Linked DNA regions of Drosophila melanogaster. The protein of the gene in region 3 purifies or fractionates together with the protein of the main gene of each other region. This does not show direct contact. Each region holds a gene or a part of one and is shown on either strand. Other genes may lie near its edges. The genes, in order: mip130, Sgf11 and CTCF.

Region 1 (3,757 bases), on a different chromosome or scaffold from region 3:
CCGTGTCGCCAATAATGCTCAGGATGCCGGGCCAAAACGCCTCCAGGGACTGAAAGACGGGAAGGGTGACGCGGCCTTTGTTCATGCCTACCCACACGTACCAGTCCTCCTTCCGCATGTACTTATCAATGGCCGCGCGAGCCTCATGGAATAACTCCAAGAGTTCTGGGCGATTGAGCAGGACAGATGCCTTAACTAGGTATTCAAAAAGGGAATCCACTCCTGCTCCGATACCAGAGTCGAGGGCGGTCCAACGACCGCTCTGCACGTCGATGTGATTGCCAAAAAGTCCAATGGGCGAGCGATATGCCCATAGAGCATGTACCGCCTTCATAGCAACATCCTCGTAGATGGTTTTCCCGGTCAACCGGCTAAGGGTACCAAATTCGATGAGGAATGTCCCCACGCCCGCCGTACAGGTTATAGAGGTCTCGCCCTTGGGCACGCCATAGCGCAGGTTCACCGTGCCATAAGGCATACCCGTGTTCGTGACGAAGGCTGGCAATAATCGTCGGGCCACATCCTCCGCCAGTCGCAGCAGAGGTCCCTTGCAGGGCCATCCTGGCTCTAGCTCTACGCCAGCACGCTTGGAGAGCAGATGCGCGGACAGCAGCCCGCCCACGATGCGGATGTTTGTCTCGAACACGGACACGTTGATGTCCCTGTCAAAATCCATCTTCTCCTCGAGCAGTCTTGCCGCGCGGCGGAATTCCGTGAAGTTGCCCATGGTGGCCAGCGTGTCCAGAGCGTCGATCAGTGTCAAGGAGTAGCTGCCCCAGGTGTCGTGGCCATCGCAGGTCAGCGGACGCAGTTCATCGTAGTTGGAGGCGTGGCGCAGGTAACCATCGTAGGCGTGCTGGAACATGCGCCGCACATCCTCCCTGCAGATTCATTGCCGGTTAGGATTAGTATGTCCGAGTTTAGCCCTAGCAATGACCCACCTCAGTTCCAACTTTCTTGCCTTGGAATACTGCTTCTGGCCGCTGACACCGGTGGACAGCAGGACGAGGAGGACCGCGCAGATGAGGGTGCCCGGATAGCCGTTGTTTCGGGGTTTTTGCTGCATCGTGGGACAGTCAATCAATCAGGGCCGCTAATTCAATTATGGGCATGGTCAGTGTTCCATAGCCAGCGTGGATGTGGGATGTGTGGAAGTCAAATGCGGCTACGTTGACGCAAAATCACAACAAGGGCTGATTCGGCGGTGGCATCGACCGCCGAATGCCCTACTAATTCCGTTCGGTGAGTGTTTTTTTATAGAGCGCTTAGAGTAGCAAACGGGGGAAAGAACACAAGCCAAAGAGCTTTTTTAAGGTAACAACCAAACACTATAGGCTAGCAAACACTGTATTCTCCGCCAATTCTGAAGTACGTTAATTTTACCCAACAAAATCCCTAGCAATAGGATATGTCATTCCGTAGGGTGCAATCAGCTGTTGCTGATCGAATAACTATCGAAAGGGTGGTCAGATCGAATTTGCATGGTGGTCATTGCTTGTTAAAGGAATACAACAGCTCAGAATAGCCGTAAAATCAGCGCGGCAATATTAAAGTCGGGTTGGAAAAATTAAATGGCAATTTCTTTAAGAATTCAAAAAGTTTGTGATGACAAATATACCGATTGTTTGTCACTGCTTTGCGCGGCACACGTTCCTTTATACTTTTATTCGCGTCGAGTTGGCAGCACATACCAGTTTTTTTTGTGGCCATTCAAAAGTGTGTGTTCGTACGGGTAAAAAGTGATTTAAATTCAAAATATTCAGCGAAACGACCGCCTCCAATAGAAGCAACTGTACCCTATGGTAAGTAACTGCCCTCTGCACCCGTTTCACACCCGGACATCCTCCGGATGAGCTGACCAAGAAATCCGCAGCCTTTGTTACGCTTCCGACTGCGAATTGCAGTTCTGGCGATGGGCAGCGATGTGTTTCGGTTTTGAATCATTCTCCGCGTAAAAAAAACTCAGAAAGAGGGTCGACTATAACCTCGCGGAGTAACTGCATCACGGCCCGTGTGCCTTTTGTACTCCGCGTAAGGCGATCGTTTAAATGCAATCGCGTATGCTTAATTGTCCGTTGGGCGAAAAGTAACAACATTGTGGGTCTATACATGCGGGATTGCCTCTGGCTGACCAGAAACCACATTGAAACCATCCCGTTGACCGTAGATATAAGCGTGTGCCATTTGGGATCTGGAAATCGTGTTTCCACCCAGTTGTTTGCATATTTATAAACAATTAAAGAAAAATATTAAATTTTTTGGTCAGGGCTGTCGCCCCTCGCATGGCATCGATAGAAGAGCGTCCGGAGCTGCGGTTGCAACCCTATCCGCTCACGCAAATCTATCGAAAAATTTTACTCCACGGTCGATTTTCGTTGCTTTTTTTTCACACTCGTGTAAAAAAAAAGGAAATAGCTAAGTAAATCGAAAGTACAGTGCAGTGTTTTGATCCCGTGGAGTGCATGTTCCAGCGGAAAGTGTGTGCAACAAATATGAGCAGTTCGCAAAAGTGGCGAGCAAAAGCAATAACAAAGTAGCAACAGCAACGCAACGTGTGTGTGTTGTAAGCAATCTGTACAGCGGAAAGGTGTTGGTGTGTTGGTGTGCTCGGGGGGTGGTGTGCGTTTCGCCCGTCCCGTGTCCATAAATTAGAATCAAATCGAATCGAAATCGACATTGAAGTCCGCTGCTCCGCCACCGCGATGTCCGTCGACCAGGATCAATAAGCAGCGTCACCACCAGTAGCGGACCATCATTAAGTTCTCCATATCGAGAGCAGGCTGACTCGGAATCGAACTCGGATTCGGAATTGGAATTGGAATTGGCATCGGAATCGGAATCCATAGCGGAGGAATCACGCGCGGCAGCCAGCCCAATACGGAAAACTGCTGAAAAATGTTAGATAAATGCCCAGTTATCTACAATTATTATGGCTTGTCCCTGTGTGCGTGTCCAGGTGTGAGGGTGTGTGTGTTTGTGTGCGATAGCAGAAGCAAAATCCGCTCAAATTGCGATGCCAAATAGTCGGCCAATTAATTGATCTTTCAATTGGCGACATCAGGCGCCCTCCCATATACCCAGCTCCGCACGAAACCCGATATATATCCGCGGATTGAGTCTCTGCTTTTGCCGCACATATGTATTGTATAACCCTTGTTTATCTTTGGACAATCCGAGGTGGAGTGGAGTACAGTGGAGGCTGGCCAAGTTGGACACATGTGCCGATAAGGTGGCGTGTGCTGGAACGAGTGTCCCCTGTAATGCGGTCTTATCTGAAGAGCTTTGCAGGTCACTCCGACTGACAAATTCACCTGCAAGCTAGGAGGGGAAAGCCCTGTGAAGAACTCTCTAACACGATAAAGTCATATTCCTGATTGATACAACTATAACACACAGAAATCACTATCAGACCAGAGAACCAGCTCGCAAGACCCAAGACTGTAGCTATACCAAATAATCTATCCATAAAAATAGGAAGTTCTTATCTTATCACATACTCTAGGTAAAGATTTAAGATGGATCTCTATAAATACTTTTGAATTTACAACCCAATTTGTTATGCTTCTCCTGTAAGTGGCCCAAAAATCGTCAGTTAAGCATATGAAAAGTCTCGACAATGTGGCTGCACTTTGTTCCTTTAATTGTTCTTATATTGTTTACAAATTGCATAAGCTGTAAATGTAAACTTTGCTTAGTTCGATTTCGCTTATTCCCGAAGTCTGTTTAAACATTCAACAGGAAATGAGAAACTGAGCTT
Region 2 (3,107 bases), about 11 Mb from region 3:
ATTCGCTTGTACGCCAGGGGAAATTTACTATGGGGACGGATTTCACGACTATTATCTGGCAGACTGACAAAATTATCTTTAAGTTCGATGGCGAGTTCTTCGGAGCAGTAAACAATCCGACACTTCTTGAACCATTTCGAAAACATGAGGTAAGACGCCTTCCTCTAAAAGATGTAATATCTCTATGATCTTTCGTTTTTAGTGCCATCTAGTCCTTGGCCTAACCGCCGGCGGCAATGTTAATTTCAATGACGACATTCTAGAAATGAAACACAAGCCCTTTTTAAACACCCACCCCAAAACTGACAAACAATTCGAGGAGTTGTCTAGAAATTCGGACTGGACACCCCTAGTGGTCGACCATATCCGGGTGTTTGCCATTGATAAGGAAGGAAAATAACCAAAATATATACTCTTTAAGTTGTAAAATATAAAACTAAGGCTTGCTTTCATATTATTACATTGAATTACTTCATTTAGCACCAGGAAAGTCTATGTTTAAAAGCGCCTATTTGCTGAAAAGTTATATTACCCTTGTCCTATGATATCTAGATATTAATTGATTAGATATTGCCACTAACTGCTGTCCTATTCAAATGATCTCAAAGAAGAGTAGGGGTCGATCACCAAAATCCCATTAGTTTAGAATACATTGGTGACTGATTTAAAGGTGTACTTTTATGGCAGAATAAACTACGAAAATGATTGTTAGCTCTGACTAAAAGGTTTTGCCATTGTTCTTCTTGGAGCCGTTGTTCCTTGAGTTCTGGTTTGATTTCTTTCGACGCTTGTCGGACGACCAGTCCACGTCATCCTCATCATCAGTGCCTCCGGTATTTCCCGAAGAGTGCAGGTGGGCGGATGTGGCGCCCTCTTTGGTGGCCAAGCGACGAGAGGCAATTCGCGACGAGATACGACCCATGCCCATGCACTTTTCCAGGTGCGGGGCGAAGCGGGCGGCGGCCACCAGGCGATCACAGTTGGGGCAGGTGCAGTCCATTGGCTTTTTGGCCGTTGAGATGCCGAATATGTCCAGGTTGGGCATCTCGCACATTCGATAGGTTGAGTCCTCCGGCACTCCGTCCAGGGCGGCCAGATTCCCTGACTTTCGCAGATGATGTGTCTCGTTAAAGATTCCGACTACGGCGTCGTCGAGCAGCGACTGGTACAGATAGTTGGCCGCCTCGTCGAGGTTCTTCGGTTCCTTGATCAACTCCCGGAAGTGGTTTACAATCGTAGTGCTAGTTGTGGGAACTTGGTTTCCCGATCCCTGAGCTCCTGTTGTCGTCGGCATGTTGGCTGCAGACATAATAGTTGGCGCAAACACTATATCTATTTGCTTCTGGCTGTCTTCCTGTCTGCTCTGGAAGATTTGTTTGGCATGCCGGTTGTTGTTGTGGAACTACATAAGTTACTAATTGTGGGTTTGCTTAACACGGCTGTTTGCAAAATGAGAGAGTTGCCAGGCTGGTGCAAATAGGGGTAAATAGTTTTAAGGAACTAGATATTCAATTTAAATAGTTGCATCTAAAAGTAACAGCTTTAACCGTTATAGCAAATTATAAAATTTATATTATTAACCAATTTAAATAGTTTATATTTTCATTAACTTATAATTTTAAATGCATCAGGTTTTGTCATTTCATAAAACGAGTATGTAAAGTAATTATTATGACCAGTTAAATCTTAAATTAAAGACAATTATGTCAAGCAGTTTTTATGCACTTTTGCTAAATTTAGTTCAATAAGTGAACTAGTCCTTTTTTGAATAAATATGACGTGGCAACGCCTGTACCGACAGACGGAGCAAGAAGAAAATCGCCCATCTGGCCACACTGAGCCATGGCGTAAATAAAAACATTTCTAAATATTGAACTATAACCAATATCTGTATAAAATGTTGCTAAATAAGAAAGAACTCATGTACAAACAGCTGGTGGAAAAACTGTATGACAGGTGCCAAAGGATTCAGGCGGAAAATGAGCGATGTGTGATGAGGTAACCGTCATTTTTATGCTCCACGAAACGTAAACAAAAATGTGCAGTACCTTTTATCCAGAGTAAATGGGATCAAAAAGATAGTAAGAAGGCGCAATCATGACGTGGAGCTTCTAAAACGGCGACTAGATAAGCACGGAGACGACTGGCGATCCGTTCCCATGGAGGCTCCACATCCCAAAGGGAAAACCGAGCAGAAGCGTCGAGGACCGAAGCCCAAAAACAAGCAGGCGGCGGATGAAACAGGAGCACCCGGGTCTGAGCCTGGACCCAATACTCCAGCTGCCCGGAAACCCCGAAAGCAAAAAGCCAAACAGGCACCCATCAATCCCAATCCAGTCATTGCACCACCGCATCAACAACCTCAACCTCCACTGTTGACCTGAGTCATAGCGATTGCTTGGCGTGTTCTAGTTTTAAGATAAAGGGCTTGTATACTTTTAAATATAATATTAAGACAAATAAAAGCTAAGACCAGAAATGAATTATAGTAACCAAAGCAATGAAAGTTGTGATTGCTGCAGAACCATTTCTATTTCCAAATTATGCTATATCTTTCCAAGTAAACAAGTTACAAAAATTGGCAGGTCTTCAAATAACTATAACAACAAAGCCTTTAAAACATGATTATCGTATATTGCATTAGAAAAGCATGTAAATCATAATCCGTTTGAAGCCTATACAAACAGCACACTTACACTTAAAGATTCATGGCAATTCTTCTGATTATGGTAGACAAAGCAGCATCGATAGACTTCCAATCACTGAGTTTATACTTATTTATATTTTGAATGTACTTAATTGCTAAAACAGAAATTCAACGGGCAGGGCGTCGCTATTTTTATTCAGCCTGGCGGAGACGTGCCAGTCGCTGGGTGAGCTCGTCTTGCTCTTGGGACACTGCTGTCGAGGCTCCAACGGATTGGCTCTGAACTCCGCTGGGCAGCTCCATGTTGAGTTCGAGGCCAGCCTCGTCGGCCACTTGCTGGAGCAGATTGTCGACATCTCCCTGAGGCACCGAGGTGGTTACCGTGTCGGACATGGTGCCCTCCATTACCGAGCTCTGGACGTCCAGGTCTTCGAACTGCGATTCAAACTTCTCCATCAGG
Region 3 (3,757 bases):
TACTCACATAGATCACCCAACTGACTGTGAATAGCATGAACATATCCTCGATTGTGGTATCGGGCACTGGAGTTGCCAATGGTGTGCTGGATCTGATATTGGCAAGTCTCGAAACTTAGACTGTGATTAGATTAGGCTAGATAGATTAAACTTATGAAATTTATGATCTTCCACAGAAAGCAAAAGACGGTGACGAAATAGTTGCGATGGATGTTTTGCAATTGTCCGCTTCGTTGGTGCTGCTCACGCACAGCGTCTACAACTTTAAATTGGCTTCGACCATAATTAATGAGACAAGCAATGCTAATATTGCCGACTATCGTAAAAACCTTTCTAATAGGCAGCGGTAAAAAACGTTCAATGAGATACATTCTGTCGTAAACAAGAGTTTCTACTTGTATTTTTTTTACCATCAGGCGAACCTTTGACAAGGCTGCCAAGGAGACCGTTCGGATGCAAGGCAACACTCGCGGCAAACTGGACATTATACGCAACGTAAACGAAATTTCGCCACAAGAGTTTAATGATCTTTTTAAGATCAACAAAAACTTGAATCAGGAGGGCGTGCGATACTCATTCGCACCCGATGGCAAAGGATTTTTACTAAATGGCGATGTGCAGACGACGGGTGCGGAATTGCGAGCTAGTGTACAACATAACCAAGGAGGGAATGTCCTAGGCAAAGTTAGTCAGCCCATTCCCGGTAGCCATGCGGGTTCTGGTCGCCTTCAACTGGGCGGCGTTAATCAGGTTTCCCGTCTAATCGGACCGCTGCCCACATCCCATCCTCGACAGGAACCCAGTACCTATGCCGCCGGCGTGTTCGCCTTGGAGCTAAGCTCTGTGTTGGTGGGCGGTGTTGTTTTCGTACTGGAGAAATACGGAAAAATCATATTTGAGCACGTGATCAATGCTGAAAGTTTTGAGAGCCTAATCAACATCATGGCCAATAAGCTTGATCCAAAAGTCTTTGACCATATAATGCTATTGACCAGAGCCTTCATGGACACCATGCTGGAAGACCTCACCTCGGTGCTAAAGTTCTTTATATCAACGGAATCCGTTCTTTACCGCATTTTGTTGTACATTTTACGGAACTTCGAGGACGTGCAACTTTCGGTTATTGCGGATCACACTTGTGAGATCGTAGAAGCCGTAAGGGTGTACTTCATGTCCCTGAATCCAAATGCGTTCCCGGGTCTCCTTCAGAAGTGTCCGAAATGTATCGGCCACTTCAGCGTTTGTCCCTTGTAAGTGTTTAACGAAATGGTTCGTTTAACATTAGAATTCAAGGGCCATCAGCATGTCATAATTGATGCCCAATTGTTTAACCACAAAGAAACGTTAGCTAGTTCCGCAAATAATCAATGGGATAACTTACTTAATATGAGCACAAATTGACAAAGATGAAATTGTTTTAGCATTTAAATAAAGATTTTATTAACCCTGTTGAAATAATTGTAATAAAAGGAGAATTTTGAACCGGAATGGTTCTGATTTCCGGTTTTCGAACACAGAATATGTGAATCATTCATTGTGTAAAGGGGATTTTTTTTAATCTTTAAGAGTAATTCCTAAATTTACAATCTGATGTCATCTATACTATGGTATAATAGCAACAGCCATACCACCAAATCATTGAATGCCTTAGAATATAAGTCATAAATTCAAGTATCCCATAAGAACAACCCCAATTCTGGTGACAATAACAAATCCAGCCTGCCCTAATGTAACCATTAACATCTGCTGCCGAATCCGTTATTCCCACCAAAGGGTCAAAACCGCTAACGCAGCTCAAGTTCTCGGCTGATCAGTACCCATGAGCGATCCATCCACTCAAGAGGGCACCCAATCCAACAGACATAAACATCCGCAGGGGCTTTCGCGACATCAAAACCGCTTACGCAGCCCAAATCCTTGGCTTATCCAGTATCCAAAAGAATACAGATTATATTTTTTATCTAATAAATTACCGTGGATTCGTTATTATATATTTTCTGTTATCAAGAATTAAAGATAGTTTATATAGAGATGACAAGATACGAAACCAATCGAACTATCGATAGCTGGCGGTACTGATGCTACATGTCGCCATCTTTTATTAGAAATGGGCAGCTGTTTCATGTGGACGCAAATTAAATTGTAGATTTAACAACAATAACGACAACCGGCGTCCCTTTCAACATATTTTTTATTGGCAACCAAGTGTCGGTAGGTGAATTGAATCAAGCGGGATTACAATTGGTCGTTGCGAGAAATCGATAAGCGCCCTCTTCGGGATCCCGGTCATCCGCTGTGGGTCGCCACCAAAACAAATCCAATTTGTCCATAGGAATGCCAAGGAGGACAAAAAAGGACGAGGACCCCGAGGATCTGCAGACCTTCCTCAACAATTTCCATAAGGAGATCGAAGGCAACAGCGATGAGAAGGTGGTAAACACGATTTTGGAGGCCATCAGCGCCGAGGCCATCGACTTGGATGAAAATGGTGCGGAGGCTGGTGGATCGAAACCGATGGAGGAGGCGGAGGCTGATTTGGATCATGCGGAGGAAGCGGAGGAGGAGGAGGAGGACGACGAGGATAAGTATTTCATAGATGACGAGGGCAACTGCTATATCAAGACTACGCCCAAGAAGCAAAAGGAGCTACAAAAGAAGCTCAAACAGGCGGCTGCCAAGCCGGGGAAAGCTACACGTTCCGTGGTCAGTACAGCCACCAATAAATGTGAGTTACCCTTTGCCATATATGTGCGTGCATTTGTATCACTTGCTCGACTCTTTTTAAGCCATCAATTTGCGGCCAGCCAAATCGACACCGAAAGCGACTACTTCGAAGCCTCCCCCAGAACCCAAGGCAATTAGCGTTCGACCAGCCCGAGCAGCTGCAGCCAAGGCGAAGCAATCGGCGATGCCACCGCCACCGGCATTAGTGGTCAAAGTACCGGCACCCAGGGGCAGGCCTAGAAAGAACCCTGTCATACCGAAGCCTGAACCCATGGACTTGGAGCGGGAGCTCGAGGAGCTGGTAGATGAGCCCGACATCAGTTCAATGGTGACAGAATTGTCGGACTATACCGTAGACGAAGCTGCCGTAGAGGCAGCAACAGCTACGCTGACGCCAAACGAGGCTGAGGTCTACGAATTTGAGGACAATGCGACGACAGAGGATGAGAATGCCGACAAGAAGGACGTAGACTTTGTGCTAAGCAACAAGGAGGTGAAGCTGAAGACAGCTTCTTCTACCAGCCAGAATTCGAATGCATCGGGACATAAGTACTCATGCCCACACTGCCCGTATACGGCGAGCAAGAAGTTTCTGATCACGCGCCACTCACGAAGTCATGACGTCGAGCCATCCTTCAAGTGCTCCATCTGCGAGAGGTCCTTTCGATCGAACGTGGGCCTGCAAAACCACATAAACACGCACATGGGCAATAAGCCGCACAAGTGCAAGCTCTGCGAAAGCGCCTTCACCACCAGCGGCGAGCTGGTCCGTCACACTCGCTACAAGCACACTAAGGAAAAACCGCACAAGTGCACGGAGTGCACATACGCCAGCGTGGAACTGACCAAACTGCGCCGCCACATGACCTGCCATACGGGCGAGAGACCATATCAATGTCCGCACTGCACCTACGCATCGCAGGACATGTTCAAGCTGAAGCGACACATGGTTATCCACACCGGCGAGAAGAAGTACCAATGCGACATCTGCAAGTCGCGATTTACGCAATCTAACTCACTAAAGGCCCACAAG

What was found.
Region 1: the proteins of CTCF (region 3) and mip130 purify together in Drosophila melanogaster (affinity purification with western blotting, with the first as the bait; one study listed by BioGRID). This does not show direct contact.
Region 2: the proteins of CTCF (region 3) and Sgf11 purify together in Drosophila melanogaster (affinity purification with western blotting; one study listed by BioGRID). This does not show direct contact.

The regions. Positions count from the first base shown.
Region 1 is NC_004354.4:1,906,554-1,910,310, forward strand, and holds the start of mip130 (Myb-interacting protein 130), read left to right. Parts: upstream 1-1,685; 5' UTR 1,686-1,799; coding exon 1,800-1,802; exon of another isoform or gene 1,803-2,274; intron 2,275-2,366; exon of another isoform or gene 2,367-2,897; intron 2,898-3,757. Other genes in the region: Edem1 (ER degradation enhancer, mannosidase alpha-like 1), read right to left, coding at 1-881, 942-1,066.
Region 2 is NT_037436.4:18,680,380-18,683,486, forward strand, and holds Sgf11 (SAGA associated factor 11kDa), read right to left. Parts: upstream 1,458-3,107; 5' UTR 1,310-1,457; coding exon 719-1,309; 3' UTR 658-718; downstream 1-657. Other genes in the region: CG32202 (uncharacterized protein), read left to right, coding at 1,898-1,998, 2,060-2,384; Chmp1 (charged multivesicular body protein 1), read right to left, coding at 2,840-3,107.
Region 3 is NT_037436.4:7,355,035-7,358,791, reverse strand, and holds the start of CTCF (CTCF), read left to right. Parts: upstream 1-2,078; 5' UTR 2,079-2,211; exon of another isoform or gene 2,212-2,332; 5' UTR 2,333-2,334; coding exon 2,335-2,725; exon of another isoform or gene 2,726-2,786; coding exon 2,787-3,757. Other genes in the region: pst (pastrel), read left to right, coding at 12-101, 177-346, 417-1,254.